Linked DNA regions of Lepisosteus oculatus. The protein of the gene in region 3 interacts with the protein of the main gene of each other region in a pairwise test. Links are inferred from orthologs where the notes say so. Each region holds a gene or a part of one and is shown on either strand. Other genes may lie near its edges. The genes, in order: si:ch211-236d3.4, pnkp, trim37 and prc1b.

Evidence for each region.
Region 1: the proteins of trim37 (region 3) and si:ch211-236d3.4 interact in binary tests that used the Homo sapiens proteins (3 or more experiments, as listed by UniProt). The two-hybrid records come from large-scale screens. The link is inferred for Lepisosteus oculatus from reciprocal best matches to the Homo sapiens genes TRIM37 and FAM107A.
Region 2: the proteins of trim37 (region 3) and pnkp interact in binary tests that used the Homo sapiens proteins (3 or more experiments, as listed by UniProt). The two-hybrid records come from large-scale screens. The link is inferred for Lepisosteus oculatus from reciprocal best matches to the Homo sapiens genes TRIM37 and PNKP.
Region 4: the proteins of trim37 (region 3) and prc1b interact in binary tests that used the Homo sapiens proteins (3 or more experiments, as listed by UniProt). The link is inferred for Lepisosteus oculatus from reciprocal best matches to the Homo sapiens genes TRIM37 and PRC1.

The regions. Positions count from the first base shown.
Region 1 is NC_090699.1:47,312,706-47,320,218, forward strand, and holds the start of si:ch211-236d3.4 (actin-associated protein FAM107A), read right to left. Parts: upstream 3,004-7,513; 5' UTR 2,118-3,003; coding exon 2,094-2,117; intron 1-2,093. Other genes in the region: protein FAM3D, read right to left, coding at 3,888-3,974, 4,423-4,549, 4,851-4,935, 5,365-5,415, 5,797-5,855. UniProt on the Homo sapiens protein: Stress-inducible actin-binding protein that plays a role in synaptic and cognitive functions by modulating actin filamentous (F-actin) dynamics. Mediates polymerization of globular actin to F-actin. Also binds to, stabilizes and bundles F-actin.
Region 2 is NC_090718.1:4,412,612-4,420,184, reverse strand, and holds the start of pnkp (bifunctional polynucleotide phosphatase/kinase), read right to left. Parts: upstream 3,021-7,573; 5' UTR 2,738-3,020; intron 840-2,737; coding exon 713-839; intron 1-712. Other genes in the region: alpk1 (alpha-protein kinase 1), read right to left, coding at 4,166-4,353, 5,143-5,329, 6,506-6,668. UniProt on the Homo sapiens protein: Plays a key role in the repair of DNA damage, functioning as part of both the non-homologous end-joining (NHEJ) and base excision repair (BER) pathways.
Region 3 is NC_090721.1:715,664-722,838, reverse strand, and holds the start of trim37 (E3 ubiquitin-protein ligase TRIM37), read left to right. Parts: upstream 1-4,153; 5' UTR 4,154-4,457; intron 4,458-5,870; 5' UTR 5,871-5,935; coding exon 5,936-6,010; intron 6,011-7,175. Other genes in the region: high affinity immunoglobulin gamma Fc receptor I-like, read left to right, coding at 1-112, 488-754, 856-1,143, 1,480-1,664. UniProt on the Homo sapiens protein: E3 ubiquitin-protein ligase required to prevent centriole reduplication. Probably acts by ubiquitinating positive regulators of centriole reduplication.
Region 4 is NC_090700.1:49,381,754-49,389,049, reverse strand, and holds the start of prc1b (protein regulator of cytokinesis 1b), read left to right. Parts: upstream 1-4,293; 5' UTR 4,294-4,530; coding exon 4,531-4,541; intron 4,542-6,371; coding exon 6,372-6,504; intron 6,505-6,606; coding exon 6,607-6,729; intron 6,730-7,043; coding exon 7,044-7,277; intron 7,278-7,296. Other genes in the region: vps33b (vacuolar protein sorting-associated protein 33B), read left to right, coding at 643-762, 1,703-1,776. UniProt on the Homo sapiens protein: Key regulator of cytokinesis that cross-links antiparrallel microtubules at an average distance of 35 nM. Essential for controlling the spatiotemporal formation of the midzone and successful cytokinesis.

The DNA.
Region 1 (7,513 bases), on a different chromosome or scaffold from region 3:
ATTTAATTTAGAATAATGTGACTTTTTTAAGCTTTCTGTAACTTATATACCATTTTCACTCTATTAAAGCACATGTTGTATTATGTCACCTCTGGCACATTCACAAAACTCCTGAAGGGTCTGGATGATGGCAACATGGATGAAATTTCAGCCATCACTCAGACTGGCATTTCTAGCAAGCTGTAGACTGCTGGTATAGTCCAGTACAATTGTGGATTACCAGCCAAGCCTGCACATTCCTTTACTTATTGGATAAGCAGGTACACTGTAGAGGCAAAATGTAGATATCAGACCTAATGATCATCTACTGTAGGTAACAGCTGCAGCTGATATTTTTCAAAATCTTTATATTGCTGTACAGTACATATTTGTTTTTATTGTTTATATGTTTATTATGAGGTCCGTGTTTGGTTTAATACTTATGTAAAACATAATAATACTTGCTTCTGTTTAGTGCTTTATTTAGAAGTCACACTAAAAACCACACATTAGTATGACATTTGGATTACCTTGTATAGCATGGTAACATTTCCACATAGCATAATGTTTCAGGGTAGTATGGTGTACTGTATATGCTAGCTAGAAGGAGAACTAGATAAATTTGAGACCAGCAGTTTTGCATACTTATTTTTAATGGTGATCTTGTTTCCTTGGAAGGCTTCTTTCTTTGGAAGAATAGGGGAAAATCACCCCGCATGTCCATTGTTTGCTCTGAGATTAACTGTGTTGTGATCATTTCGCTCTGTGTCATGTCCTAGATCTCTCTTTCTGTGATCTTGAGTAATTGTGAAAGCTGAAATTTCAAAATTTTATATAAAACATTTAATTTCTTCATCTTGTTGAAAAACGCATAATCAGCAGGACTGTTGCTATCCTTTTTGAACAAATGTTAGTTTCCAATCATTTTATTTTCATCTGTTCAATAGCAAACTATATAGTATTCACCCCTGATAATACAGGCAGGACTATTTTACTCTTGTGTTACAACTTATGTTCAAGACATTTACATTTAACGTATTTTATATGTACTCATGATGCATAATATATTCTGTAGAATGACAGGGGCTTGTAGATATTAACTATAAAAAACAATAATGGCTTATACAAGATTTTACAAAATACCTTTAAAAAATAGTTTTTATATAGTCTGGACTTCCTAAAACATTCCTTATTTACAGCCACAAAGCTTATTGATTTGCGCAGCTGTCAGTTGTCATTGCCTGCTCCTTGACCTCTAATTGCACACTCTCTCCCTGCCCTCAGCTAGAATGCTCCACCCCATAGTTTAAATATTTGGGAATTTACTCAGCTTTAACTTGTGTGCTTGCTGGGTTTGACAGGGCTAGCTTGCTGTAAAGCTGCAATACTGTTTCACTGGTTAATAAAACAGTCTCTGGGACTTTGTGAATCTGTAGTTCAACTAGTGTTATAGTATTTATACGTGTGTTACAAATGTCATGATGAAGTGTTGCTGTAAATGGCAATTTGGTGGTTGATGACATTGTATGACTTAAAATGGCTCTGAGGTTCTGGAGGAAGATGCAAGTCCCACATTCATTTTATTCTAAAAATTATCTAATCTACAGTTACGTGGACTTTTACTACTATGATAAAAACAACGTGTCTTTCATTAAATAACAGTACAGTTGAATCAGTTAAATTCTTTTTGAACCTAAGACAACTCTGAATGTTTATTCTGTATTTGTCTGGCTCCTATTTTCATTTCTTGTTTAAAATAAATTAAATTGAAAAAAGATTACTCCTCTGGATAACAAGTAGAAAGTCCATAAAAACAAGAGACCTTATACAGTACATACAGTATAAGTATATTTATAAGTAAATACTAAAATCCTTGAGCTTCAAGCATGGCCTGCTATTTACAGAATTCAATAGAAGTTTTTTTTTTCATTTTGTACATGTTTGTATTTTGTCCTGGTAGTTGTAGGTGCTTAACAGTTTAACAGTTATTAAATAGTTAATTCAAAATGGTCGACAGTAGGAAATGTTCCATATTGACACTTGTGCTAGTATTCCAGTTCAGGGGAAAAAAAACCCAATCAGCAAATACATAAGAAAGGGATCATTTTCCTTACTTTCTTTCCATGAGCTGCTCCCATGTTGTCTGGTCCCTGTGTGCCGTCCTTGGAGTCTCTTGGAGTACCTATTAGCAGTGTCCGGAGAAGGAGTTTCCACTTTACTGTGCCTCTGTATTGCTAGCAGAGTGCTGCTGTCCACACAATCTGTAGAAGGCACAGGCTGCAGCAGAGAGTGTAAAAAAAAACAGTCCCTGGCTCCCTGACAGCTCTAGGTTATTCTACAGAAACTGGCAGGCTAGATCAGCAGGATCTTAAAGTAAGCACATTCAGCACCAGGTCCCTGGAAGTGACCACAGTCTACAATGGTGACAGAAGCCACAATAAGGGAAGATGGCATACTACAGTTCCTACAGCACACCTAGTGAGAGCATAAGATCACTTTTATAAATAACAAAAGAGAACAGAACCTGGTTGGCCACCTGTGCATGGCTGACTCCCCACTCTTAAAGGCTTAGGAACATAAGTGAAGATTATGTTAATTGCCACTGACAGGCCAGGATACCACAGAGAGCACATGGCCAGTCTTACAGAGAGCCTCACTGCAGGAAAATGACTATTATAGCTTGGAAAAACAGAAAGAGACAGTCATTGATTTAAAGGCAAGGTACAGTACTATCCCTCGTACCTGTTTTTCAATCCTCTGCTAAGGATCTGTTTCACAGAACTTAATAGTAATGAAAACTAATTGAAATGAAAATGCACTCTCCCTGTCTGTCAGCCTGGACTCAGAGCAGCTGGGTGTAGAGGAGCCTCTGGTTTGAGCTTTAGCTAATGACATCACAAATGGGCACTTCTTGAACTTTATAAAACCTCTTTGCTGCCTACAAGCAGAACACACTGCTGCTGCCTCACACAATGAAACTGTTCTGTTCCTCTATCAAATGCGCTTTGTTAGCAGGACTGAGGAAACTAAAAGCTTAAGGTGGAACAAAAGTATTGCGTGGATTGATAAACTGTAAAGCTAACCCAGGAAGTAAACATTTGTCTTTTAAAAACTAAATACACACCATTGAACAGTAAATATAATATATAGTAATTTGGTGCAATAAGGAGATGTATAATTATCATGCAGGATTTAACATTTTTGTTCTCAGTCAAAAGTTGTCTGAAAACATTTGAAAAAGTTTGAGTTCCAGTGTGATAACCTGTGTTGTTTTTTTCAATGTTTGTCTCAAGGGGAATACAGACTATAAAGTAATTAAACATTGAATTGTAAAAGAAAGTGAAAGTGTCAGAGCTGAATGAACAGTGGAATAGGAAACAAATTAACAAAGGCTTGAGAACTCTCTTAATTTTATTATTCAGACAAAAACCTTCAGTAGAAAATGAGAGACAAGTCAGTCTCATTTGTGCAGCAAAAATACTAACACAGCACAACACCTCAATTATATAAATAAACTTGAATTTTACATTACATATAATGTGTAATTAGACCTCAACAACATTTCGATGTAAAAAAGACAAAACCAAAGATTCAAAGTCAATAACATATTAAACACAGCACCAATCCTGTGCTTAATGACTGAACTTCCAAGTTCTGATTTATTAATGGTGGGGAACAGAGTTCACCCCAAGTGTTTGAGTGTCTGTACTGTTGACCTTTTTTAACAGCTTTTAACACATTTTTCATTTGAAAAGTAATGCATTGACACAGAGAGATAAGTTTGACAAAATGGAACTTACAAAATGCATGCTAAAGAATATAAGAAATGGATCACAAACAAAATCTTTCTTTGCAATATTTAACTTAACGTGATTCATGCTGTCAGTCTGAGCCCCACTGTACATCTGTTATATCTTCTTAGGAAAACATCCATCCATTTCAATCATCTCAGGCCAGCCATCATAGATGTTTGTATCCTGGGCATTTTTCAAATGCTTCAACAGATAAGTAAAACACATGAAAAAATGCTACCTGGCAATAGTGGAAGATTATTGTTGTTGCAAAAATTGTCATTATGCCAACAAAGTTTGTACAATTTATCCTTAGATTGCTGTGGCACTGAACTGAAGTAAAGCACTGTTTATAACACAGTATTCACTTACTATTATGCACACATTTATACTTAACATTCCGTGAGGTGTGGAAAGGGCTGGTGTTCAGTTTATTCTAGGTTTGGGCAACCATACTAAGTTATGGTGACCTCTCAACTCAGGAACATGTTGTTATAAATTGCACTTTATGTGTTGGTAACTTATGGTATATTTATTTTTGCATTTATAGACTACTTTTAATTAGTTTTAAGGTTTATCTTTTGCATCATATGATTACTTACAAAATGAACATTTTTTCATGCAAATGTTTAATATTTTCAGACTTCATTACCTTTTCAAATGGACTCTTCTCTTCAATTCCTTCAGCTCCTATGAAAAGCCAGTTATCTCGATATTGCACTGATTTTATCATGCTACTTCCAAACCTGGTAAATATTTCTCTGATCTCATCATTCATGCTGAAAGAAAAAAAGAAAGGCTTAGCTTGCACAATGTGAATTATCTGTACTCTTGTCTGCTATGATTTTATAATGATTTCACAGGTAGACTATCTGGTAAACATGGAACTTTCAAAACTAGATGAAAATCACCATAACTTTAGAGAACATTTAGGTTCTCTAAACTCTAAAAAACCTAATAGAGAACAATATTGATTGTGATTTTAAAATATAAAGACATATTATAAAACAGGATTATTTCTTCCATCAGAAATGAAGAAATTCATATTCAGAAAAAAATATTCACCATCGTAATACTTACTTTGTTGCTGGTTCATCATATGAAGCCACTATAATAATTGTCCCAGGCTTTATTGCTTTAAGGAATTCCAGTAGTCCTTTGACATCTATGACAATATAACTAATTCAGTTAGAATGAAGAAATAAAAAAAAAATATATACTATATCCAATATCGCCACTGCTAATAATATTACATGCATATCTACAGTTACAAATCTTTTTTAAATCAATTCCAAAATATAGCAAGAGAAACATTTTATTATTTTAATGCATTCAGAAGTGAAGGCTTTTAAAGGAAAGCAGTCACAGGCTTGTTGTGAAATGGCAAGGCACTACAATATCATTTATAATTGCTTAATGCTGCTTTTCTTACTTTCAGAAAACTCTTGATTTTCTTACTACATAGTGCAAAGGAGTCCTTTATGTCTTACTAGTGAATAGTCATTGCTAATTAAACTTCATCTGTCAACTTTCAGCAGTTACCTTGAGAGAAGATACATCCGCACCTAAACTTAACACATAAAGGAAATCTTACCTCCAGCATACATGTTAAAGGATTCAGCCTTAATTATTTCCCCAGTCTGCCCTATAAACCAAGAAAGATGTTTTTAATCTAATGGTAATTCTATTTTCTTGTAGTCTTTCGAAAGAGTAGTTATATCATCTCTGCTATCAAGTTTTCTACAACATTTTCATAAAATGTTTTTAAAATATTTTTTGAAATTTCTGTGAATTAAATGTCATTGAAATTAATACTCTAACCATAAGAGTAACAATTTATATGACTTAAAATCAACATTATATTTTAAAAAACATTTGATTAAACCTACCTTCCGAATAAAACCAGTAATTATGGTACAATTAACAACTTGAATGTAGAGCTTCATTATGTCTGCAGACCTTTTACTGAATATAATTTTGCTGATAACCTAAACACTCCTATTCTAATGGAAGTAATTGCACTTACCATTTACAAGCAAAATGTTCAGTCCCGATCCAACATTATTTAATGCATTACTCATAACACTGGAAAGATAACACAAAGAGGTACAGATCTGAAATGTATAGGGCATAACAATATCAACTCTTTCCAATACTAAACAAAAGTGGTGAAATATTGTTTTTTTCCACAAAATGAAGAGTGAAACAAACTAAAAAAAGATCAAATACTTTTAAAAAGTAATAATATCATAAAAAAAGATAAAATAAAAAAAATGTTTTTTACAAGTATGCAAATGGCAAAGGTATGTTATAGTTTACTGGTGCCAAAACAGTCCTCTTTTTTGTTCATTTTATTTATAAACACTCAACATACTGCAACAATCATTACTGGCAGTAGCTTTCTTAATGGGAAAGATCAGGCAGTTTATTATTGATGTATAGTTTATTCTTTCAGGGAATATCAGAATGACTGAAGTGCAGAATTTGAAGTAACTGTTCAAGTCGTAAGGCAAGTAAATGTTAACACTAATACAGTACACCTGTGTTCACCAGTGCAGTCCCTAGTGTCTAAACGTCCTGATCTAATCAATGGTGATAGTATACTGCCACCCTCTGGTGTGAATGTCTCAGCGTTATTCAATTTTAAATTGAGGTGATATTGGATACTAAATCTTGCTGTAATATTATACATTAAATGCAATTTATTTATAATTTAAGTATTGTGAGTGTATAGTCTTGTATAATTATGAACAGATAAAAGTAGTGGACTAGCTGCCCTAAGATTCACTACAAGTTTCTTTCTATGTTTTACAAGTATTAAAAAAAACCTTTTTGTGATATAGAAAAAATACTAAACCTGGTAGTTTAGAGGCAGCATGGTGGCCCAATAGTTATCATTGCTACCTTGCAGCACTGGGGCCCTGGGTTCAGTTCTGGGGTACTATCTGTGTAGAGTTTGTATGTTCTCCCATGTTTGCATGGGTTTCCTACAGGTTCTCTGGCTTCCTCCCACAGCCCAAAGACATTGGTATGTCTTTATACATACTGGTGTAGGTTAATGGACTTCTGGAAAAAGTGGCCCTGGAGTGAGAGTGTGTACAGTACATTGTGTCTCTGTGTGCCTGTGACTGTTTGGTGTTCCTCAAGGGTGTACCCTGCCTTGTGCCCTTGGCTAACCAGAATAGGCTGTGACTCTCCCCTTAATTGGATAAAGCTGTTGGAAAATGAATGGATGGATGGTAGTTTTGGATAAAATCACTGTGTCTGAGAAATGCTTTTACAGATGCTTCTCAATGGTTTATTTTGAGTAATGTCCATTTTCACTAGGCCATGTAACTGACTGGATAATAATCATTCAAGATTATTATAGTACTGCATATTACATTAGCATAGGGATCAACTCAGGTCATCCCTGTATCCCTGGTACTAGCACAAGAGAAACAACGATAATGTTTCCTCTGAAACACGCACTGTTGTTCTACCAAGACCATTAAGTTCTTCTCACAAAGTGGGTCGCACAGCATAAGGAGCACTTTTGGGGGCATCTGGGATATCAAGAATAGTAGTCCTCATTGATAGTATTGCTAGCATTTGCATAACAAACCACAAGGGGGCACTTATGCAGATAGCCAAGAATGTTTCATACACATCCTGTGGTGCTGGAATGTCATTTGTTGTGGTTTTGTGGAAAATGTTTTCCAATAAGAATTGTACTCTAATAATAAGAAAACGAAAAAAGTAAA
Region 2 (7,573 bases), on a different chromosome or scaffold from region 3:
AGGTGCTCGTTAACTGCTTAACTACAGACGTTACATACAGAACAAAGACTGAAAGAACAGCCCAAATCACTGTGGAATCTACTTGTTGAATCAGAAGATCACCTTTATCGTAACGAACTCCTTGGTAAATTCAACAGCAGACCTTAACTAACTTAACCAGATCTCTTTCCACAAGCGACAGAAGCCGTGGAAACAAACCAGGCCCGTCCCACATCACGCAGCTTTACAAAAAGCTTACAGATGGAAGATAAAACCTCAGACGGATAGCTTTGGGAAGGAAACTGTAAAACTTCTCTGCACGCTCCATAACAAAAACGCGGAGTTAGACAGGAGCTTTCCATGCGCTGCCGTATTACTTAGAGAACGTGGTGTTGTAGATCACAGCTCTATCTCTAATGAAAGAAGATTTAAATAGGGAAGTCATTGATGGGGAAAGAAAAGTCACTTTACTGCTAAATTAGCTACAACATATAAGCCTAGGGGGGCCGTCTCCCCTATCCCAAATGTGAGACATGGATATCAGTGCTGCAGAACCCCACAATGTCCCCCCCCCACATCTATCAATCAGGTGGGGCTGCACACTGGTGGTGGTGGAGGGGATCCCCATTACCTGTAAAGCGCTTTGAGTGGAGTGTCCAGAAAGGCGCTATATAAGTGTAAGCAATTATTATTATTATTATTATTATCAATCCCAGTTGAAGCTTTGACTCACCCTGGTGTCGGGAACACTTCTTGTCCGACACTCCTGATTCTGGCCCGCGGCCCAGTATCACTGCACGGCCGTCAGCCAGCGGGACAGCCGGGCCGCCCTCGGACTGACTGGTCAGCTCACAGTGCATCTGGGAAAGGAGAAACAGGGTGAGAGCCGCCGAAACACACCGGGAGGGAGAGCACTTCCAACCCTGAAAAACACACAAGGCATCTGCACATGGGGAGAGCCACAGAGAGATAGGGCTGAGGAGGGGGTGCTGTTCTGTGTGGAGTTTGCATGTTCTCTGTTGGTTTGCATGAGGTTTTCTCCAGGTGCTCCGGTTTCCTTCCAAAGGAATTGGCTTCAGGGAAAATCGGTCCTGGTGTGAACATTTGTGTCTGCATCTGCCCTGCAACGGGCTGGTGTCCCATCAGGGCTGTACCCAGTACCCTTTCTTACACATCATTACAGGTTTAGGTGACTGAGAAGTGTCTCTGAGATTTTCGATAAAAGTCTGTGACACTGGGCAGAGTAAACACTTCCAACCTCAATGCAGAGAGGTTGTTTGTTCAGATGTGGGGGTCCCTTGATCAGAAGCCAATGTAAAGTTGACTTTGGTATACCTAGGCACATCGTAGGTTAATGGCTGTTAATGAGCAGTACAGAAACACACAATATCAGATCACAAGAAGAAACAGGAGGAGAAGAATATTGAGAGGAGAGGAGTTAGAACTCGAAGCTTGCGCCAGGCGAGAGCCCCTACTTCATCCAAACCAAACCTGACTGGAGCTAAGTCTCTGAACCTTGTTAGAGCGAACTGTTCTGTGTTTCATGTTTCGTTGTGTGTAGTGTAGCTTGTGTCTTGCCATTGTAAGAAACAGTTGTTTAACCAAATGTGCCTGGAATATAACTCTTTTCACCAAGCTTTGCTGGAGAACAAAGACTTTGTGTGCCTCTAATTATACCAACTGCTCGGGTATATATATATAACTTACAAATTGGGGATATGACTATTTATTTTACTTATTGACTAAACCAATCAGTTAATTTCCTGATTTTCACAATTTTTAATCACCCATTTGTAACAACAACAACAATAATATTTCCTTACACTTATATAGAGCTTTCCTACCCACTACAGTACAAGCTGTTGACAGGTAATGGGGATCCCTTCCACCCCCACCAGTGTGTCACCCTACCTGGATGACACACCAGTACGCTCATGATTGGTAAAGACCAGGTGGAAATGTTCCCAGGACATCCCTACTTTATTTGAGAAACACCCTGGGATTTTTATTGACCAGGGACTCGGGACCTCAGTTTTATATCTCATCCGAAAGACGGCGCCATTATTACAGTATAATGTCCCCCTCACTGAACCTGAACCCTTATCTTAGTCACAAAATTAAATTAAACTATCATGGTTGGCTTCAGTTCCTAAGTAGTTTGAGGGTTGCCTTTATAATTTAAACAACTTAAAATATAATACTTTCATGTTAATATTGCGTTACATATTAGGTTATGGGAATGCTATTTTTCGAAGCCTACGTTTAAAATTTTAGTTTTAAAGACGGAAAACTTCAAAAGATCAAAGTGAAATAACTTGTTTCGATGAAATATTTACGTAAGGCGCTCTAGAGGTACGAAAACCAGCAGTGTGGAGTCCCCAGGATTCAGATAAAAGCCACCTTATTTTGGCATTGTGTACATGAACCGCGAAACTACTCAACTGTCGTGTCGTTGTGTGCGAGTGTTTTACAAGATAAACTGCACTATTTTGCACCTGAATGCTTGCTTATGTAAACCTGCTGCTAACTGTAACAATAAAATAATTTCTACAAACTAAACTTTGATTTTTACTAGAAAACACTGTTCTTCATTTGCAAAGATGTGTGAAATCTTCACGATGCCCCCACTTGTCGGAAATGTTATGAGCCGATACGGACCGTTTTGCCTCTGGCAATATTTTTAGCGACACGTAATTTAGTCAACTCGCTGACCCCAGATCTGTGTCAGAAACGGCTCATAACGATGCGCTGTACTCACCTCGATCAATTCAATGATCCGAATCACGGAAAAACACAAAATAATGCGAAACGCCCCTGAGGCGAGTGAAATGGTCACCAACAGCCTATATGCAGTACTACTGGCGACTTTTTGAAAGCCAATAATGCTACTTCAGATTCTGCTCGATATGGTTAGTTTTGAACTCGCAGACATTTTCGACAAAAACAAACCAGAGTACAAATTATTGGTACTCCACAGCTACCGAAACGCCCCCCATCACCAGCTTTGTGCCGGGTCCGCCTGGAAACCTGTCCCCTCTCCTCCCCCGGCTCAGCGCAAGATGGTTCCGGCGACCCTCTGTTGGCGTTGGTATGCAGCTATCGACCCACACAGTCATTGTCAATAGCAAACTAACTTATTTACTAGTTCATTTACTCAATTTTGAACTATGTACATATGTAGAGAATACTTTATAGTTTTATGTGTTTAAATCGTGGTCCTTCCCATAGGAATTACTGTATTTGTTACTTGGACTTAAAGCAGGAGAGGCATCATTATTTTAATAATTATTCAAAATGACTATTTTATTCTGCTGTAATTTTCAAATGCTGAATGACAACCAGCAGATCCCATGTTTTTGTTGCTTTATTGAAAATTTGACAGAACTGGGGATCTTTGGAATTTTGTTTTCTCCAAACTTCGCAGAGGTCTGAAGCTCGGCAGGCTGGTACTGAATGTCATGTTTATTCAGTACAGGGTCACAGGGGTAGCTGGAGTCTATCCCAGCAAGCAACGGGCACAAGGCAGGATACACCCTGGACAGGACACCAGTCCATTGCAGGTCACACCTAGACACACGCACACTCACACCAGGGCCAGTTTTCCCAGGAGCCAATAAACCCACCAGCATGTCTCTGGACTGTGGGACGAAAGTGGAGCACCTGGAGTTGAACACTGAGAGAATACAAACTCCCCATAGACAGCACAACCAACTCTTGTATCCAGGGCTCCAACACAATAAAAACACAATAAAATATGACAGGACAGTGTTATTTACATAAGTTGATACATTACAGACTTTGAGATAACATTTTAGTTTTAGGCTTGAGTATAAAGTGCGTCATTCATGAATGGAGGTAAAGGACTGCAGGATCTAAAGGTGTCCAGGTTTTCCACATGTTTAACCTGCTGAGAGATGAAACTCTCCTCAAGTGTTTCTGACAAGAGTCAAGACAGTGGACGTCTTGGGCATCAACACTGAAGCACGAACCAGAGCAACGGGCACTACTTCTTTAGACCAAAAGTACTTCCTTTACCCAAAGGGTAGTGGGAGTATGGAACAAGTTGCCGAATCCAATACTCCTGGCTTCTTTCAGGAAACAGCCGGCTAAGATCCTAGAATCAACAAGCCGACAGCTCCCTGACGAGCCAGGTGAGCCGACGGGCAGCTCTCGTTTTCGGACGTTCCTACATCCCTGGAAGTTTCCCGAGCGAAAGCATCTGACAGATTTCATTGCAGTCGGCTCCATGCTGATCTTGAAGGAAGTACTCTATGCCCTGCCGATAAAAATTCGAGGAAGATTTGGGTTTCTTGAGCGAATGAATCTGTGGGTCTGTGAGGTAGGTTAATCCTTTTCCGTTTCCCGTAACCCAGCCTGCAAGAAAAGACACACAAAAAAGTGACTTTAGAGGGGAACTCCAGTCCCCCATTTCTCAGGCCGGCGATTACATCTCGGTAACAAATTAATTCATTGACGTAATAGAAAAAATTGCCAACTTTCAAATGAAGCACAAAATCGGGAACTTTGTGAAAGTACTGTAAGTCGCCGTGTCGTTGCAAACTGCTGGACTCACCACGGGCAAGAGTTTGTAAGAATTGTGACGTGAGGCGGCCCTTCCTGCTCACTAGTCCCTGAAATGACTAATGCACTGTGATGGACGAGCGAATAAGTACAGGTCGTGCAGCAGACATTTCACCACAGAAATGTCCCAAAGTGATCTGCAGGCAGAGTTAACAAGCAAGCAGTAGTTGTTGTCACAAAACCACCTCAAAATGGAGAACAATATTTCTATTGGATTAAAAGAGATGTATTCACAAGCCTGCTTGTGTATAGTGTAATAATAATTGGTAAAAGGTGCTTGTAATAGTGAGGCCGCTTCAATTCAATTCAATTTATGTTTATATAGCGCCTTTCACAACAAGGTTGCCCCAAGGCGCTTAACAATACAACTGATGATACATTTTGTCAAGACCAGCTTCACCTCACGGGACATTTCGTTGCCTCGTTCCGAACATGGCGCTGCCCAGACGTGGACATTCAGTCTATTCTGTGATGTACAGTAAATCAGGGGTTTTACATCAATGCCGATTCTTTCTGACCGCGAAATATGAAATAGCGCTGCAGTTCTCTTACACACGGGAGCAGCATTTTCCCCCAACTCACCCTGCAGGTCAACCACAATCTCCGTGTGGCCCGAGAACTCGAAGGTGAAATGACCGAACGCTATCCCGTAGTCTGTGGCTCTGTAGTCCCTCACGACGGTCTTCTTGTTGTTCGTTAGCTTAACGAAGTCCCCCAGCATGTATGGCTCCACGCTCACGCATCCTTTTATGAGCCTGTCTTCGAGAATCTAAGCACAAACGAGGGAAATGTTCAAAGTCCGCTGTCAGTCGCATTTTTAAAACTTTTTTTAACAGTCATTAAAAAGCAAGAAAAAAATTAAAAGCATAAACATAACGGGGTTTTTTTTTGCATTACAAACTCATATCACTCATCCTGCCCAATTCCAGACTGGTATCTATTTTTTTTTCTCATTCAAATTACTTAAGATCTGGCCCTTTAAGTATCTATCAGCCCCTCATATTGAGCACTGGCTGCATCAGAGTATTTAGGAGTCATGATGTTTGTTTAACCTTAAGTCTAATAACGGTTAAATGGTAACATTTATGCCCACTTCAGAGCATCCACATAGCTGAAAAATATCATGGCTAGAAACCATGAAGCTTATAAAAACAAAGTGTTACGCTACAATAATTGAAAGATTTATCATGATCATTATTATTAAAGGGGAACTGCCACACTATTTTAATATTTCATGGTTAGAAAGAAATGATATTTTAATAATCAAATTGATGAAATTTTAATACAGTTATCAGTGGTCTTCTTAAGAAAGTTATTCAATCTCTGTAACAAAATAAATTTGTTGACGGTATAGAAAAAAAGTACGAATTTCGTATGAAGCACGAAATGGTGAACTTTGTGAAAGTACTGCAAGTCACCATGCTGTTACAAATCCCTGGTCTCACCACGGGCGAGAGCTTGTGAGAATTGTGACGTGAGGCGGCCCTTCCTGCTCACTAGTCCCTGTACTGACTGATGTGATGGTGTGGACGAGCGAATACGCACAAGCTGGGCAGCAGACATTTCACCGCAGAAATGTTCCAACCTGATCGGCATGTGCAGAGATAACAAGTGAGTAGTATTTGTCTGGGAAACCGTCTAGAAATCTAGAGCAATATTTTAACTGGACTAAAAGAGATGGATTCACAAGCCTGCTTGTTTACAGTGTCATCAGGCCCACTTCACCTCACCGGATGTTTTGCTGGCTCATTCTGAATCGCAGAACATGGCGCTGCGCAGGCCTGGAAATAATATTCTGCGACATAAATTGGAGGTTTTACAAGTTACTGTGAACGTTTGACAAAATATAAAAATAGGGCCGCAGTTCCCCTTCAGCTACCCAAAGGGGCTGGATGGGTTGTGAAGGGCCTGTTCTCGTCTGCAGCTGCTGCACAAAGAGCCTTACCAGGAGGACCTCTGAGGGGATAAAGTAGATCTGCATGGGAATCTGCTTCTCGTACAGCTTCTTGTTGAACTCGGTGACGTAGTACTGTGCGGTCATTTGACGCTCCACGTCATTCAGGTGATAACGCAGCTCTTTCTCAGACTGATACTCCTTGCCCACGTAGCTGGAGAGGAAACAGCCGCGGGGGGGTTAGACTGTGTCAGCAGAGCTGTCGGCGACACCCAATCCGCAAACCAGCGGAGCCTGGGGCATTTTGCAATCCAGACTTCTCCGTTGATCTCGGCAAGAACAGCAGTCGAAACAATTTCTTTAAATGGTATATAAAACGCATGATGGTATGAAAAGGGTCCATATCGAATACAGGAGAAAACTAAGGATCCGTGACAGATCACACAGCAGGTTTACATGTCGCCACAGTTTCAGAACTGTTGTGCTTTTCAGAGCTGTTCCATTAAAGCTGAAATATGGGATTTTAGACGTATTGTGGCTAAGACAGGCTAAACTAGACTTTTGGACCAAACTTATGAACAAGCCTTAAGTCTCAGAACGTATCTACTGGAGCTTCGCGCCTTTTTAGAAACCTGCCAGGCACATCCAAAAGGTCAATAAAACGAAAGGAAGCTCTTCTTGATAAAGATTTCACATCTGCCCTTCAGGTATAAGTCCAAAACCTAACTACTCAGTTACCAAAACCATATCTCGACCCCGGCTGTTCTCCGCGTGAAAGTGATAGATTTGGTATGATCTTGCAATATCGAAATCTCACCCGCGGAGCTCTCTGAACAGAGTTACATTACTACCCCCACTACAGAGCCAAATAAACAGCTTTTTGTTTTCTTTCAGATATTATAGTAATTTTACAGTCGATTCTTTTTACAAACATACCTCTGTCGTCTCAGTAATCACTCGTTTTATCTCATATTGGCAGACATGAAAGGCAGTGTTTTACAGCTCGCATGTAGCATTGAGAGAAAGAGAAAAAGACGTCTCTGCTTCGTTAATGTTAATGTTTCTTTATTAGCCTTATACAATTTCTTGCATTAGGAATTCGTCTTTTCGCCTACCCCA
Region 3 (7,175 bases):
CTGAGGCCCGCCCTGCCTCACCACGGTGGGCAGTACTCCTGCCAGGGCCTGCGGGCACGGGCCTGGCCGCAGCGCAGCCTGCCGAGCGAGCCCATCAGCATCCGCGTGACCGGTAAGAACCAGCAGGGCCACGATTCCTCCCTTTCCTCTCCTCGGTACCCATCCTGGCAGCTGTACTTCCTGCCAGGAGGCTGGCTCCTGTTCCCCAGACTCCCAGCTGTGAGCACTGTCTCCCGGTCTCGTGCCGCGTGCGCTGTGTGGTGCTGCAGGCCCAGCGCGGGTGACCCCGTGACACAGCGCGATTGCGGGATGAGTGAGGACAGTGGCGTCAGACCTGCCACAGGAGCTCGCTGGTGGCGCAGTAGCTGATGAATTAGAGAACTGGGAAGCGCTGAGAGGGGGTTGGCGTCTCAGGGCTGCAGGGTGGTGGCTGGTGGGGCTGGCCCAGCGGTCAGGCCTGCCCTGAGCTTGTGCCTCCTGCCCGCAGGCGGCTGGGTGATCCTGCAGACTCCTCCACAGCCGCTGCTCCGCGGCGCCGGAGCCACCCTGACCTGCCGTGTCCGCGGCAACCCCAGGCTGCAGCAGGTGGTCTTCCACAAGGACGGCCGGGTGCTGGCGAGGCAGAGCGGCCCCCAGCTGCACCTGGCCAGCCTCTCGCCCCGGGACGAGGGGCTCTACGGGTGCCGGGCCACCTGGGGGAAGAGGTGGGGCTGGAAGACTGCGGAGTCCCCCGAGGTCGGCGTGTCCGTCAGAGGTGAGCGCGTGGCCGATCTCAGATGCTCTCCAGAAAAGAGCAGCGGCTCATTCTCATGCCGCCCCAGCTGCCCTCTCTGACCCTGTCCGTCTGCTGACCAGACCTGCTGAGCGAGCCGGTGATGGAGGTGCTGACGGAGACCCCTGTCCGGCGGGGGCAGGACCTGGTGCTGCGCTGCCGGGCCCAGCTGACCCCCCGCAGGCCGGGCCTGAGGCTGCGCTACAGCTTCCTGAGGGGCGGCCAGCGGCTGGGCGTGGCCTCGTCCCAGGACCGCCACGTGGTGCGGAGCGCCGCCGCCCGCCACTCGGGGCGCTACTGGTGCCGGGCGACGGTGGACGGGCTGGGCCTGGGGAAGAGCAGCGAGCCGGTGCTGGTGCGGGTGATCGAGGGTGAGTCCCCAGGGCAGCTCGGCACCAGTGGACCAGGAGGTGGCGCTCCAGTGTGCTGTCCGAGGACACTGTGCCCCCACTCGGTTGAGAAGCTAGGCCTGGGCCCTGACTATCCCCCGGCCCTTTTCAGAAGAGTAGGAGTGTTAACCCTGGAGGCCGGGCTGGGGTTCTGCAGTCTGGCCCAGTAAGGTCACTTCTCAGCCTGATTGGGTGCCGAATCACCAGGCGTGGCCCCACAGGAATATGAATTCATTTCCAGAGAGAATGAGAAATTAAAATGTACTGGTCTGCCTGACACGCTCGGCCTCCTCCTGCTCACCTGTGCTTCATTCACAGACGAGGAGGCCGAGCTGGAGTCCACAGGGCCCAGCAGACCAGAGCATCCCACGGACCCCACACAGGCCCAGAACTCTCCCGGCAGCAGCCAGAGCCCGTCGCCAGAGACCTCGCCGTCCAGCTTCTGGAACCTCACAGAGTCCTCAGCATGGGAGGCCATGACCCCAGGAAATACAACTCTGTAAAGATTCCCTTATTTCAGCAGGGACTCTGCAGAGGGAGTTCAGCACCAGCACAGTGATAATATGCAATCACTGACATAGTACATCAGACAACTTCAGTGATTCATACTTTTTTGCAAGATAATTGGAAGCAATTAACCAACATCAATGCATAGAGGCCTAGAGGCAGTGGACCTGGAAAGATCTGTTAACCAGCCAGTCTGTCCTTTTAAAGTAAGTCAGAGACTTTGATTATTATTTCCGCATATTAGAAAATAATAGAAATACCTTTCTGCATTCCTCTGTGTTTGGCAAACCAGGAAAAGAAATTGAATTACAGCATTAACAACAATAAACGAAAATCTTGCTTTGATTCTAATCTAATGTTTGTTTTGGATTTCTCTTCAACTGTCCAGCTCTTGGTACTGTGTGGTGTAGCCCTGAGGATGAGCCTGGCTCTGCTGGTGCCAGTCAGGGGCTGGAGATGGGTGTCGGAAACTCTGAACTCCGTGTGTCTCTGATGCACAGGCCACTGGCCTTCTGCTCTCTCTGTTGCTCTGCTGGTTTACGTGTCCCGGCTCTGTTTAATAGAAGGCCTGCTGCTGGCTTTGCTCAGAGGCATAGTGACTGTGAGGATATTTTAGATGAAGCCAAAACACATGCCCATGTGTTCATGGGGATATCCTGTGCCTAACTGAAGGGAAATCTGACCTAAAGAGGAGGGAAAATTGAGTTTTCCGGATCAGAAGATGAGCCAAAATGAATCCCTGGGAACTATATATGTTGTTAATAATAATGTAATAATAATAATAATGTTTCTTTATTAGCCCTATACAATTTCTTGCATTAGGAATTCGTCTTTTCACATACCCCAGCTTTTCTCCAAGGAGACACAGACAGGGAGAGAAGCTTGGGGTCAGAGCGCAGGGTCTGCCATTGTACGGCGCCCCTGGAGCAGTTAGGGTTAAGGGCCTTGCTCCGGGGCCCAACGGAGTAGTCACAGAGCCACTGCTCCGCCCGATTTGCTTTATGCTTGATATGATACGATATGATATATGCTTTCGGTGTTGTTACTTTTGTATCCCAACAGAAGCGTTTATTGGCGGGAGGGCTGTTGATCAAACGTGGGTTTTAAAACAGTAATGACAAGTCCAGGGCCAAGAGCAGAGACTGAGCTGCGAGCAGAGCAGTGATTATTGGGTTGAGCACGGAGGGTGGATTCCAGTTGTCATTCCCAAGAAAGCCTACAGGGATCCTCCCTGCGAGTGAGAGCCGAGGTCCCGATGGAGCTCACCTCACGAAACGCTTCAATTAGCCCGCGGTCACCTGAGACGTCAGAACCGGCTCGTTGATCAAGGCTCCCCGCAGCCAGAGAGGATGATCCGGCTGCGCGCCCCCCCCGGGCATCCCGCATTTAGCATGTGGGTCACTTCCCCCTGGAGAGCAGGGGAGACCTCCTGCGTTGCAGAGCGAGGCTCCTCCGCGGGGGCGTCACGGCAGAGCCGAGCCTGGAGCATCTCACCTCCGCCAACCCCTTCGCAAGGAACGCTTAACGTTGAGCCCAGCAGGCACCAGGCTCGAGGCTGGACACCCCCAGGACACACACAGGGAGAATCCGCCTGCTGTTGTACCCGGGAGGAAACCCAGGAGAACATGCAAACTCCACACGGAAGGCGCACCAGGTCACAAATCAAAGCCAAGACCCAAGACCTGTGAGACAGCTTTGCTAACTATTGCAATTATGACACTCATATATGTCTCAGCTGTATTTAATGAATACACCTAGTAATTTTATTAATATATTGAAGATTAAGGGTGCCTATAATTTTCCATTATGGAACTGCGTTTCAGTTTGCTGCATACTTCCTTCAGTTAGGCGCAGCTATAATAATATACGTAGCTTGTCTTCAATTTCACGTGTTGGCATGTAAGATTAAATGATAAAGACATTGATATTTTTGCAATGTTGTGCCGATCTAAAGGGATTTAAGGTGAACCGACGTTCGCATGCGAGCACCGTTCATGTTGTTTATCTCTCTCCGCACTGTCTGTGGTTATGCAATGAAGCGCGCTCACACGGAGACCCCAGGACCCCCACCTGTGCAGCTGGGGTGACGCGCAAGATTTGAGGACGCTTCGAACCCGCCTCTCCTGCTAACGGAAGCGCCTCTAATCCCTTTGGCTGTCTGACGTCTTTCTTTTCCCTACCCCAATTCCTGAGGAGAGCCTCCTCATTACTGTCTGGGCAGGCCGCGGGGGTGTGGCTTCAGCGGAAGCCGCTGTGATTGGATACAGATGGAAAAAGTACCAAGGCGTCGGTGACTGGCTTGCGCTCCACTCTGAAAGCCTCTCGGCACCTGACCAATCGCAGCGGAGATGTGTCACGAAAGCCACACCCCCTTCACGCCCACCAGACCAGGGGGCGTGTCCCCCGAGTTCAGGGGGAGGGGAAAAGCGACGCGGCCCTTCTGCGACGCGAGATCCCGCCCCCTCTTCTCTCTGCCATTGGCGAGCGAGGATTTCAGCGGCTTCCGGCGGCCTCGCGAGAGAGAGGTGGGGGGGGCGAAACGGTCTCCAATGGTGACCAGTAGCTGTGACTGGCGAGGGGGAAGGAGAATGGAGGTGGGGTGCAGGAGCTAACGTTTAAAAGATAGGAAATAACGGCAAAACGAGCGCTTAGGCGTTGTTATTTTCCCACCAGCCCGTTGTGTGTGTGTGTGTGAGAGACAGGCGGCGGGGTGGGTGCTCAGCGCTCCGCCCTCACCTCTGCAGAGCCGCGGCTGACCGCCCGGCTGGGCACCTCCGAGCCCCGGCGACGTAAGTACCGCTCTCCCGGCTCCCTGCATGCTGCCCAGCCCGCCTCTGGACCCGGCCAGCGTCCTGGGCAGTGTGGGGGTCCGGGTTTTCCAACACCCCTGCCCGCGTCCAACCCACCGCCAGTCCTCCAGCGAGTGCCCAGCCTCTCGGCACCCCCGGGAGGGGAGGGGGCTGCGCTTCGTTTAACATCTCAATGAAGTTTGTTTTGGGTCCTTTCTTCAGTAGCAACGAGTTAGGCACAACTTGCAGAGAGCAGGTCTCCCCTGAAGGGCAGGCGGGCTGTAATTTGCTGGATAGCTAAAGCCAGACGCAGCAGGTTTCGGAGGAGCGCTGTGTCTGGGAGCTGCCTGGGATGCACCTCAGGACAGACCCCCTGCGAGACTCCATACCTGCAGCGTTCAGGGCCGCTCGCAGACGGCCCTGTCTTCTTCATTTTGGGTCTCTGCATAGGCGTGGAGAAGGATTGCTAAGCCTGTTTCATGGTTTGCCAAACACAAGCCGCTCAGGTTAGATATTTCCCGATTTACCCCCCACAATTAGAATCCCCAAAATGGCGAAAGGCATCCGCACGCTTCGTGTTTTGAAGCCACGTTTTCAGGCTGCCGTGGGTAAAATACATTTTTGTGGAGGGATGAGTGTGATCTAACGCAGAGCTGGCAGGTTGCAGTCTCAGTGGTGCCTGAGACCTGCCCGCATTGTCGTTACAAATAGCCTTGTGCCTGAGTCCGAATGCGCTTTACGTGCTAAATCTCGTCTGAAACCCTGCAGACCCCCAGAAATCTGGCGGCAGGTGTTTGAGCTCCTGCCCATTTCCCAGAAGAATGGACGTCTGGGCTTTCGGAGGGCTCTGACCACAGTTTGTAGCCATAGCGCTTTCGAGTGATTACAACCCTCAGAGCCAACAAGCAACCCTCATAAATAAAAATAGGGGCGAATCGAGGAGCTGGAGAATCTCTGCCTTTTTAAGCAGTCACATGGAAGGACTATACCATTTTGAAAAGAGACTAAGTAATTTAGAGACAAGAAATAAATTATATAATGTGAACAGGTTGGTATACTGTCAGTATCCCAGAGGTATTAATCTCTAGAGGTATTATGGTAAGGCCCTAAAGAAGTGCAGAAGGCGATGCCATTTTCACCGTTTCTCTCTGACACTGTGTATCTTGTAAGTGCACTAAGCTTGAAAATGTTTTCCGTCACGTATTTACTCTTCTAGATATACTGTACACTCAGAATGTGGTTTAAAGGATCAAATAGCTTGTGTTCATTCTAATTTAAAATCCTTTGCAATATGAGGTTTGGATGGTGGCTTGGATAGCATGCCAGTGCTTGGAAAGTTTAAAGAGCCTATTTTGTCTTAACGTTTGTTAAAGGCAGACTTCTAAGTCTTATTCAGTAATGCTCTTTTCACAGGTGTTGGGTTGAGCGGCTTTTTGTTTTCCACCTGAGGATACCAAGCAGGTTGAAAACCGTCTGAAATGGACGAGCAAAGTGTGGAGGTGGGTCAGAACGTGGGCGTCCGTGTAGCAGGAAGTCCTGGGTCTGCCTGCTTTGTGAGTTAAAATGAAGAGCTCTTGCCTTTACCTTAAGGGTTTCTCATTTTCTTTAAACCTGAGTTTGAACCTAAACTGAGTTTGGGTGCAGGTACAAACCCCAGGGCATGTCTGCAGTAGACTTATTAGGTGGATATCTTGGTTATTGAAGAAGCAGGTGATGGACTCCCCACACTCCCCTTTCTGACTGTATGCAGCCTGGTGGTTCTGTGATTTTAAACCTGCCCACTCCCATGACAGCTTTATTTCAAACTAGCATTTCACTCTTCTGAATACAGTGAGCTCAGCCAGCTCTTTAACTGGATTGGGGTCTGACCTTAATGAGAATTGATTTCATTTGCTGTGCTAGTATGAGTTATTTGAAGGTCTTAACAAGTACCGCCAGGGTTTGTTTTAAGTGTCAGTCATTCCCTTTTGCAGATGATGATAAGAATCCTTTTGTTAGTATTTTACCTTGGTTAGATAGTGTTGTTCATTTTAAAGTTGGATTTGCTGTTATCAGAAGAGCTCTGCTGCAGTCCCAGTCTGAACACCAGGACAGCATGCACAGCTTCTCTGAAATCTACACACAGAAGACCTGCTCTTCTCAGACTGTCAACTCTTAAAGCTAATGGAAATGCTGGTTAATTGCCATGGCAGAAAGCTCAAAACCATGTGCAAGTTTGTGCATTTGTAACCTAACACCTCTTGTCCAGTTATCTTTACTTTGCTATGGGTTCATGTTAGTGTAAAATGTGCGCCAACAACCTTGGGACAGTGGAGCCCAGCCTGCACTCCAGGTGGTGGCTATATCAGATTGAGGGAATTTCCCAGCATTTCATATAATGTATATCCACCCCATTTGGAATGGTGTGTTGTGTTTAAGACGGGACTCTCCAGCCATGACTCCTGTACCCCCTCGGGAGAATGAATGAGATGCATGGGTTTGCTCCTCCGTCGAGCCCACCAGCTGAGCCAGCTGTCCTTTGGCTCCACAGACCCTTGCAGGAGGTTTGAGCCTCTCAGAGGAACAGTCAGCCTCCAGCCCATATCACTGCCAGCCTGCAGGCTCCCAGCAGGTTGCAGGTGTGGCCCTTGGTGCTGGGAGAGCCCAGCTCACCAATACTAACCCTGCAGTGTCAGCGCTCACACAGAGACTAGTGGCAGAGCGGAGCATGGAGCTCGA
Region 4 (7,296 bases), on a different chromosome or scaffold from region 3:
TAATGACTAATGTAACATGATGTAAGAGCAAATAAGTACAGGTTGCGCAGCAGACATTTCACCGCAGAAATGTTCCAATGTGATGTGCACGTAGAGTTAACAGTATTTGTCCTCAAAGCCTGCTTGTTTACAATGTATTAAGACCGCAACACGTCACCGGAGTCTTGTTCTCTCGTTCTGATTACAGAATATGGTGCTGTGCCTACCTGGAAATTTCTTCAACTTGTGATGTTCATGGAGGTTTTACAAGTTACTGTGTACATTTCACTTTTAGTCTGGTTTGAAATGCACTCGTTAATGACGATTCTTTCTAACCCCGCAAAATAAAAATAGCATTGCCGTTCCACTTTAACTCCTATTAAGAAGATGTTGCCCAGATAAGATAAGATCACTTTATTAGCCATGTACAATTTCTTGCCTTAGGAATTTGTCTTTTCACATACCCCAGCTTTCTCTCCATGAGACACACAGACAGGGAGAGAAGCTTGGGGTCAGAGCACAGGGTCAGCCATTGTACAGCGCCCCTGGAGCAGCTGGGGTTAAGGGCCTTGCTCAGGGGCCCAACGGAGTTTAGGTTTTCTCACTGGATGTGGGAGCCCCAGAGAAACCTGCCCCCAGCAGACACCCCTGTGTGTGTTCTAGCAGGCAGCAGCGAGGAGGTGAAGCCGAGGAGTGACTCCCAGAACACCATCCTCGTCATGTTCCTGGGTGGCTGTACCTACTCAGAGATCTCAGCCCTGCGCTTCCTGGGGAAAGAGAGAGGTGAGGAAGTCGTTCTTGAAGGCTTCTAATAAGAACACAAATACAGTGTTAGTGATTGTTTAATTCTGTTTGTAGGGAATACAGATTCATATTCACAAGGATGGCTTTGTTTTTACTCCACTTTGTAGTGGAATTAAATGCAACAAAAGAAATGGTTAACTGCACAGATGGTGCTCAGAGTTAATGGGGGATAACCAGGGGTGCAAATAACCCAGATCATATAATGTATTCATAAAAAATCAAGCAACAGCCCTCCATACTAGACATAGCATTAATCTCTAGTTTTAGTGGAATCGTTACAATTCTCATCTCTTCTAATATCCATATTGCAATCATCTGCTTTCATTAACTGGGTGGTGCAAACCTGGGAGGGAATCTGTAAAAAAGCTATTTGAATACAGTAGCTTCATAGCCTTTCCAGGAAGTGACTGTCAAGCATGCTAGGGCAGGTACGTGTGTTAAATATCTGCTCCTCCACGCTGAGGTGTGCAATTGGGAAGATTCAAGTGCACATCAGGCACAGGAATAAATAAAAAAATATGGAATGGATTTGCCTGTAAGGTATAGCTACATTTCAAACTGCATTTCATGACTGTTTCATGATTTCATAGTCGTTCATTAAATACCTAAGCAGAGATAATGTACAGGCATAAAGCTCACCTGGCATGTGGCCCTTTCTACAGCTCCATAATAGTTCAGGTCCTTAACTCTTTTATTGATCCTGATGGTCAATTAAAAACATGAGGAGTTGGTTTTTGCACGGTTCTCAGACAGAGTGGTCCGGAAGGGCCTTAGGATGAGACTGAAGTCTTTGAGTACAGCACGCGTTTTCTGGTATGATTTCTTGTGACTAAATGTAACCTAAATTAAACCAGAAACTCAATTCAGTTTTATAGAACAAAAAAGTTTTTAAAAAAACTGTCCTTTAATTTTTTTTTAGGATACAGGTTCATCATCGTGACAACAGCCATCACTAACAGTGCCCGACTGCTGGAGGCGTTGTTGGATAGTTGAGAATGACTCATCTACAGCACTTCCATAAACGGACACCAGGGGCGCTACGACAACAGAACAGTGATTTCCACGAGAGAAAACTGGGAGCTCAGGCTGCAGATTAAGATTCCACAAGGCATTTCTCTGTAAAAAAACAATTTCTTCTTTGATTCTCTTGTTAATATATTGGTAGAATATATAACTATGATATTTAAGCATTTTTCATATCAGAGGAGAGAAGAAAAACTTAAATCTCTTAAAAAGATAAGATTAATACTCCTTGCCATCCATTTTTATCTTGTGTAATTAGATACTGATGTTAAATTTGTAGTTATGATGCAATGCTAGAGTCTTTAGGACCAAAGAGCAAGCAAATCTTATTTTCCATTCTACAAGACAGACTATCCATCTACCTCTCTTTTATTCCTGCTAAGGACTGAGGCAGCCCTGAGTCTGCCTGAGCACAAGACAGATCAAACCAGTCCATTTCAGGGCAACATGAAATCAAGTGAATTCCAGAAAAATAACTGCAGACCAGGTTTAATACACTTCATTTTTAACTGTCCTACATTTGAACAACATTGATATAAGCCAGTAAACAAGACACTGGTCACACAAGTTTCAGTATAAAAACAAGAAAACTACATTAACTGGCATGGTATTACTTTCTTATAATTGTCTGGATTTGTTTCCCTTCTCTCAAAAGACTGCAAGGAAACAAATCTAGCAGCTTCAGTGTGAAATTCATAGCAACAGATTTTTTTTTTTCCCCGACAAGCACTTTGTACAGTCAGTGCTGTGAATATGGCATATGTTTGATTCTCTACCTTCCATTTGTCCGTGGATAAGAGCATTAGAAAATTCTGCAGGGATGGCAGCCAACATGTAAGAATCACATCTGGGTGTGGTGCGGTGGCTCTGTGACCAAGGATCTGCGCCTGTGGCTGGAAGGTTGCCAGTTCGTATCCCACGGCCAGCAGGGGGAATCCTACTCCGTTGGGCCCCTGAGCAAGGCCCTTAACCCCAGCTGCTCCAGGGGCGCCGTATAAATGGATGACCCTGCGCTCTGACCCCAAGCTTCTCTGTGTGTCTCATGGAGAGCAAGTTGGGGTATGCAAAAGACAAATTTCCATATACAATAAATTGTATATGGCCAATTAAGTGATCTCTCTGTACGTGTGCAGGTGTTGCGTCTCCTGGCTTGGCAGCACGGCCATTGATGGAGCCTGTGCATGATGCAGCAGTGGATCAGATGCTGAGCTGCTCATATAAGGAACGATTGTCTTCTTCATGCACCTTACTAATGGAGGAGCAAACATGTCTGCACTGAATGCCCAGATATCCCTCAACAGCTGTAACCCCCCACAAGGAATGTGATCACATCAGAAAGAACAAGTGGTCACACTATGTTGCACTGAGATATTTCAGATGAGTTAATTTCACAAATATATGAAACATATCTCATCACTACATAAAAAGATGATTCTCGGTGGTCGTACTAAATTAAGACATTTCTACTGTAATTTTTCAAGGGGAAATTCTGTCATTGTTTCAGTATGACAGAAATAGACAAGTCCGCTCTCATTAACAGGGCATGTTGAAAAGAAATTGCTACCATCACCTAAACTGGTTCTAGGCCCTGGCTTAGGAATGTCTTTGTCACCAAGCTCCTGTTGAAAGACTGGTATAACGAACTTCTGATCATATTCTTTGGGTTTGAATCCTCCCTGTGCTTGGATTTCTGAAAATGGTGAAGCTGGATTTTAACAGAAGCGGAAGAGAATGTACACATGGGGTGTTGAGGACCAGATTTGAAGATGAATAAAGTTTTCAGTTGTAAATATTTTTGATTGCATCATTTATTTAACATTTTTGCCAAACTTTACAAAGTGGCTCTGGACACATTCAAAATACAAAGAACTTGAAATTCTCAATTTGATCGCAATCATCATATTTTCCTAATTATAAAGGTAAGGGCACGCCTGGTTCTTTTTAAAGTGTGCATTTACGTGACGTCATCAGGGAACTACTGCAACTACTATGGAACTTGTATTTTAGGATGAAAGATTTAAGGGTATTTTTACCATGTGGATTGTGATTGAATTACAAATTCAAATGAATAGATTAAACATAATTTTACCGTAAAATTATACAAGACGAAATGCTTCGTTCTACGATCTAGTAACGTTTTACACAACGAAAAAAGTAGTGCGGATTCGAGCTCTGTTCAGTTTTATTGAACTAGAAAATTCATTTTTTTTCACGTGTCCAGAGTTTCCGTTCATTACATGTGATTTAACTTAAAATGCAAAACATTTTCTCAACACACCAATTATTACATTTATGCAACATAATGTAAGAGATCGAAAAGGTGGTTTAAAAAAAGAAGCAAAAGCACAATTAGACGCAGAGAATGCACATGAACGCAAAAACAACTGAATCGTGTACTGTATACTTCCAACTACAAATATAATTTCGGTGTCTTTTTTAAGGCCACCACACCATTCCTTACCTAAACACCCAACCTGGAAACACGCCGGATATACGCAACCACGGCCAGAAATGCTCCTGTTGCTATGGTCCTGATGACGTCCCGCCTGTCCTAGCCAATGGAAAGAGACGACTGTTCAGTCGCAGCATTTGAATTGAAAGAGAAACGGTCAGAAATTTCCCGACGAAGCCTGCATGCAAAAGACTGCTGTGAAAAAAAGTATATCAAAAACATAGTAAATAGGAGAATCAAGGGGATCTTTGAGGAATACGAGGAGTCTCATCATGCGCAAAAGGTAAGTTATTAAATGTTTTTTTTTATTAAACATGTTTTTTTTGGTTAAGTTAACTTCCGAAATTAATCAGGTGGCATAAAGAAAATGTCAAATACTAGGCAGCCGAGTTTTGATCGTGTCTTTTTATATCCCTCTGTGCTTTGAAGGTCCAACCCCGCATTGCAGTTGTTTATTAGCGTCTCGAATCAAAACAAACATTTGGTTGAGATCCCTAAAAGGAAAATTAACCGCACTTCGTACGCATACGACCGCAGGCGTCCTCAGTCTACAATACTCGAAACAAAGTCGCTTTAAAAATACACGTCGCTTCGAGGCCAGCAGTGATTTCGTTTCAATGGCACCAATTCATGCTCATGAAGCGAACATTGATGTCCATCCCGCGACTGCTTCGGGAGTTCTTCTAGAATGTAATACTGAATTAAATGCATCATTCAATATTTCGTGTACCTAGATACGCGTTGAATGCTATGATCTCAAAAACACGCCATGTTATTACTAATTATTAATTTATTTGAAGTTTGTATTCAAAGCTACTAATACTTGCAGCCATTTCTACAGCTGGGTATGTGTAATTGGAACAGGCTTGATGCAGTGCCTTGCTCAGCGTTACAACAGCAATGTCTCGCCTGGAGTTTGAAGCCAGGGCCCTAATCAAACTACAGCCCCAATGTATAAAGCTATGGTAGCTAATTGAAGCCGATAATGCTACAAGTGCCAAAAAATGAACTGAAGAACCTAATCATCTTTTACATTTTCCTACTGCGTCACTAAGGGTGGAATTGCACCTGTTTTGTGGGTGTAACCTCAGAAAGCGATAATGGTGCTAGTGCTGGTATATTTATAGAAAGCAAATCTTTATACATAATCCTCCTTATGCAGTCCAGATACAATATTGTGAGGTATTGTTTTTTTAATTTAAATATTTACGACATCCATCTTATCGCTGCACAATACAATAATCTTACAATAATCGTGAGGTTGAAAGTTGAATGTGCAGGTGTTTGTCCTGTTAAAGATCTTATTGGTTCATAATGTTCTGCATAAACAGTACAAGGAATAAGGGCCCAAAGTCTTAAATTTTCTTTTTCTGTTTTAAGTGCAAAGTCTCTTCAAAAGTTTCTGCAAGGCAATAGAACTGTCGCTGAGCAGTAATCAATTCCAAAGACATTAGTTTTTAAAATTCAATCTGTTTGATCAAATGTTGCTTTGAAATAAACCACTACACATTCAGCTGGTGTCGCAGCAAACAAAGGTGGTTTAATCCACTCGTTTTTAAACAGAATCTTCTTATTTACATTTAAAATCTTTGAAGAGACTGGCACAACAGACTGGGTGTGTCTTACCCAGGGGAGATTAGAGCTTTAGTAGCTGTTACAAATAATTAACATTCCAATATGGTGGAGTAACTCTAAACCAAGTATGCTGAATACTCTCACAGTAGCTCTGAAACAAAATTCTGTTACAGGCTAGTCAAGTAAATGAGGGCACATTTTTTCAAACCTAGTTATTTCTAATAAACTGTAAGTCTAAAGCATAATGTTCATGTTGTTTTCTGAGACTGCAATATCAAAGTATTCGGAATAAAACAACAGGTCCTAGATGCAGAACAAGCACTTCATGACTACCAGATTTCCCTGAAGTTAAACTGGTTTAATGCAGCCAGTATGCCTTTTTTGATTGCTATAACCTTAATAATTGGGATATTAAATATTAAACACAAAGGGGTATGCAAGAGTGGGATCCCTGCTTTGTAAGTTTCATACTAGGGTTGTTCTTGGGTGAGCTTTGACCATTATCACGGAGCTGACGGTTGAATTCTTGCTTTGCCAGTGAGGTTCTGGCTGCAGAGTCTGTGGCATGTCTGAATAAAGCCCTTTGCCGACTGAAAGACATCTGGGAGGAGATTGGGATCCCAGAGGACCAGCGATTGCAGAGGACGGATGTGGTAAAAAAGCACATTAAAGTGAGTACTTTGAGGCTTTAAACTATATCTGCTTGCCTAAGTGCCACGCATGTGGATAAGTGAGATAGTAGTCGCAGAACCAATAAGAGATCATTTCCACAGGGGCTGTTGGACATGATGATTGCAGAAGAAGAGAACCTCAAGGAACGGCTGCTGAAGAGTATTGAAATGTGCCGCAAAGAGCTGGATGTGCTGTGCAGGGAGCTTCACCTGACATCGTTTGAGGTAACTGCAAAAAAATCCAGTTATTGCAAGCGTCGGATACTGGTACGAGTGATGAAGGAAACCAAAGTGAAGTGTTTTGTGCCATACGTCCTGTTTCTGTCAGATACATTTTGGAAGTTTAGTTTAGAAGTTTGTTGTGTGGTGTAGGTTACTTAATCACTTATACAATCAAAAAAAGCTCAAATTTTTGTTTTGGGTAACCAGGGAGTGGGGGAACTTGCATTAGCTTAACAGTTGCAGCAGTTTTGGCCCGAGTCCTGGCCTGTTATTCGCATGCCTGTCTTTCCAGTCGTTAAAGAAGCTCTTGTTAACAGGAAGAAGAAGGCAGCACAGTGCTGCAGCTGGAAAAGGATATTCGCACGCGGCTGGAGGTGATGTTAAAACAGAAGAATCAGAGAATGCAGGAGCTAAAGGCACTGAAAGAGCAGGACCAGGACCTGTGTGACATTCTGTGCAGCGATTCCTACTGCATCGACAGCGACGCCGTGCCCACCCTGGAGCAGCTAGACCACTTCCGCCATCACATTGCCAACCTCGTGGCAGAAAAGGTCTGTTAGTCTTAATCTC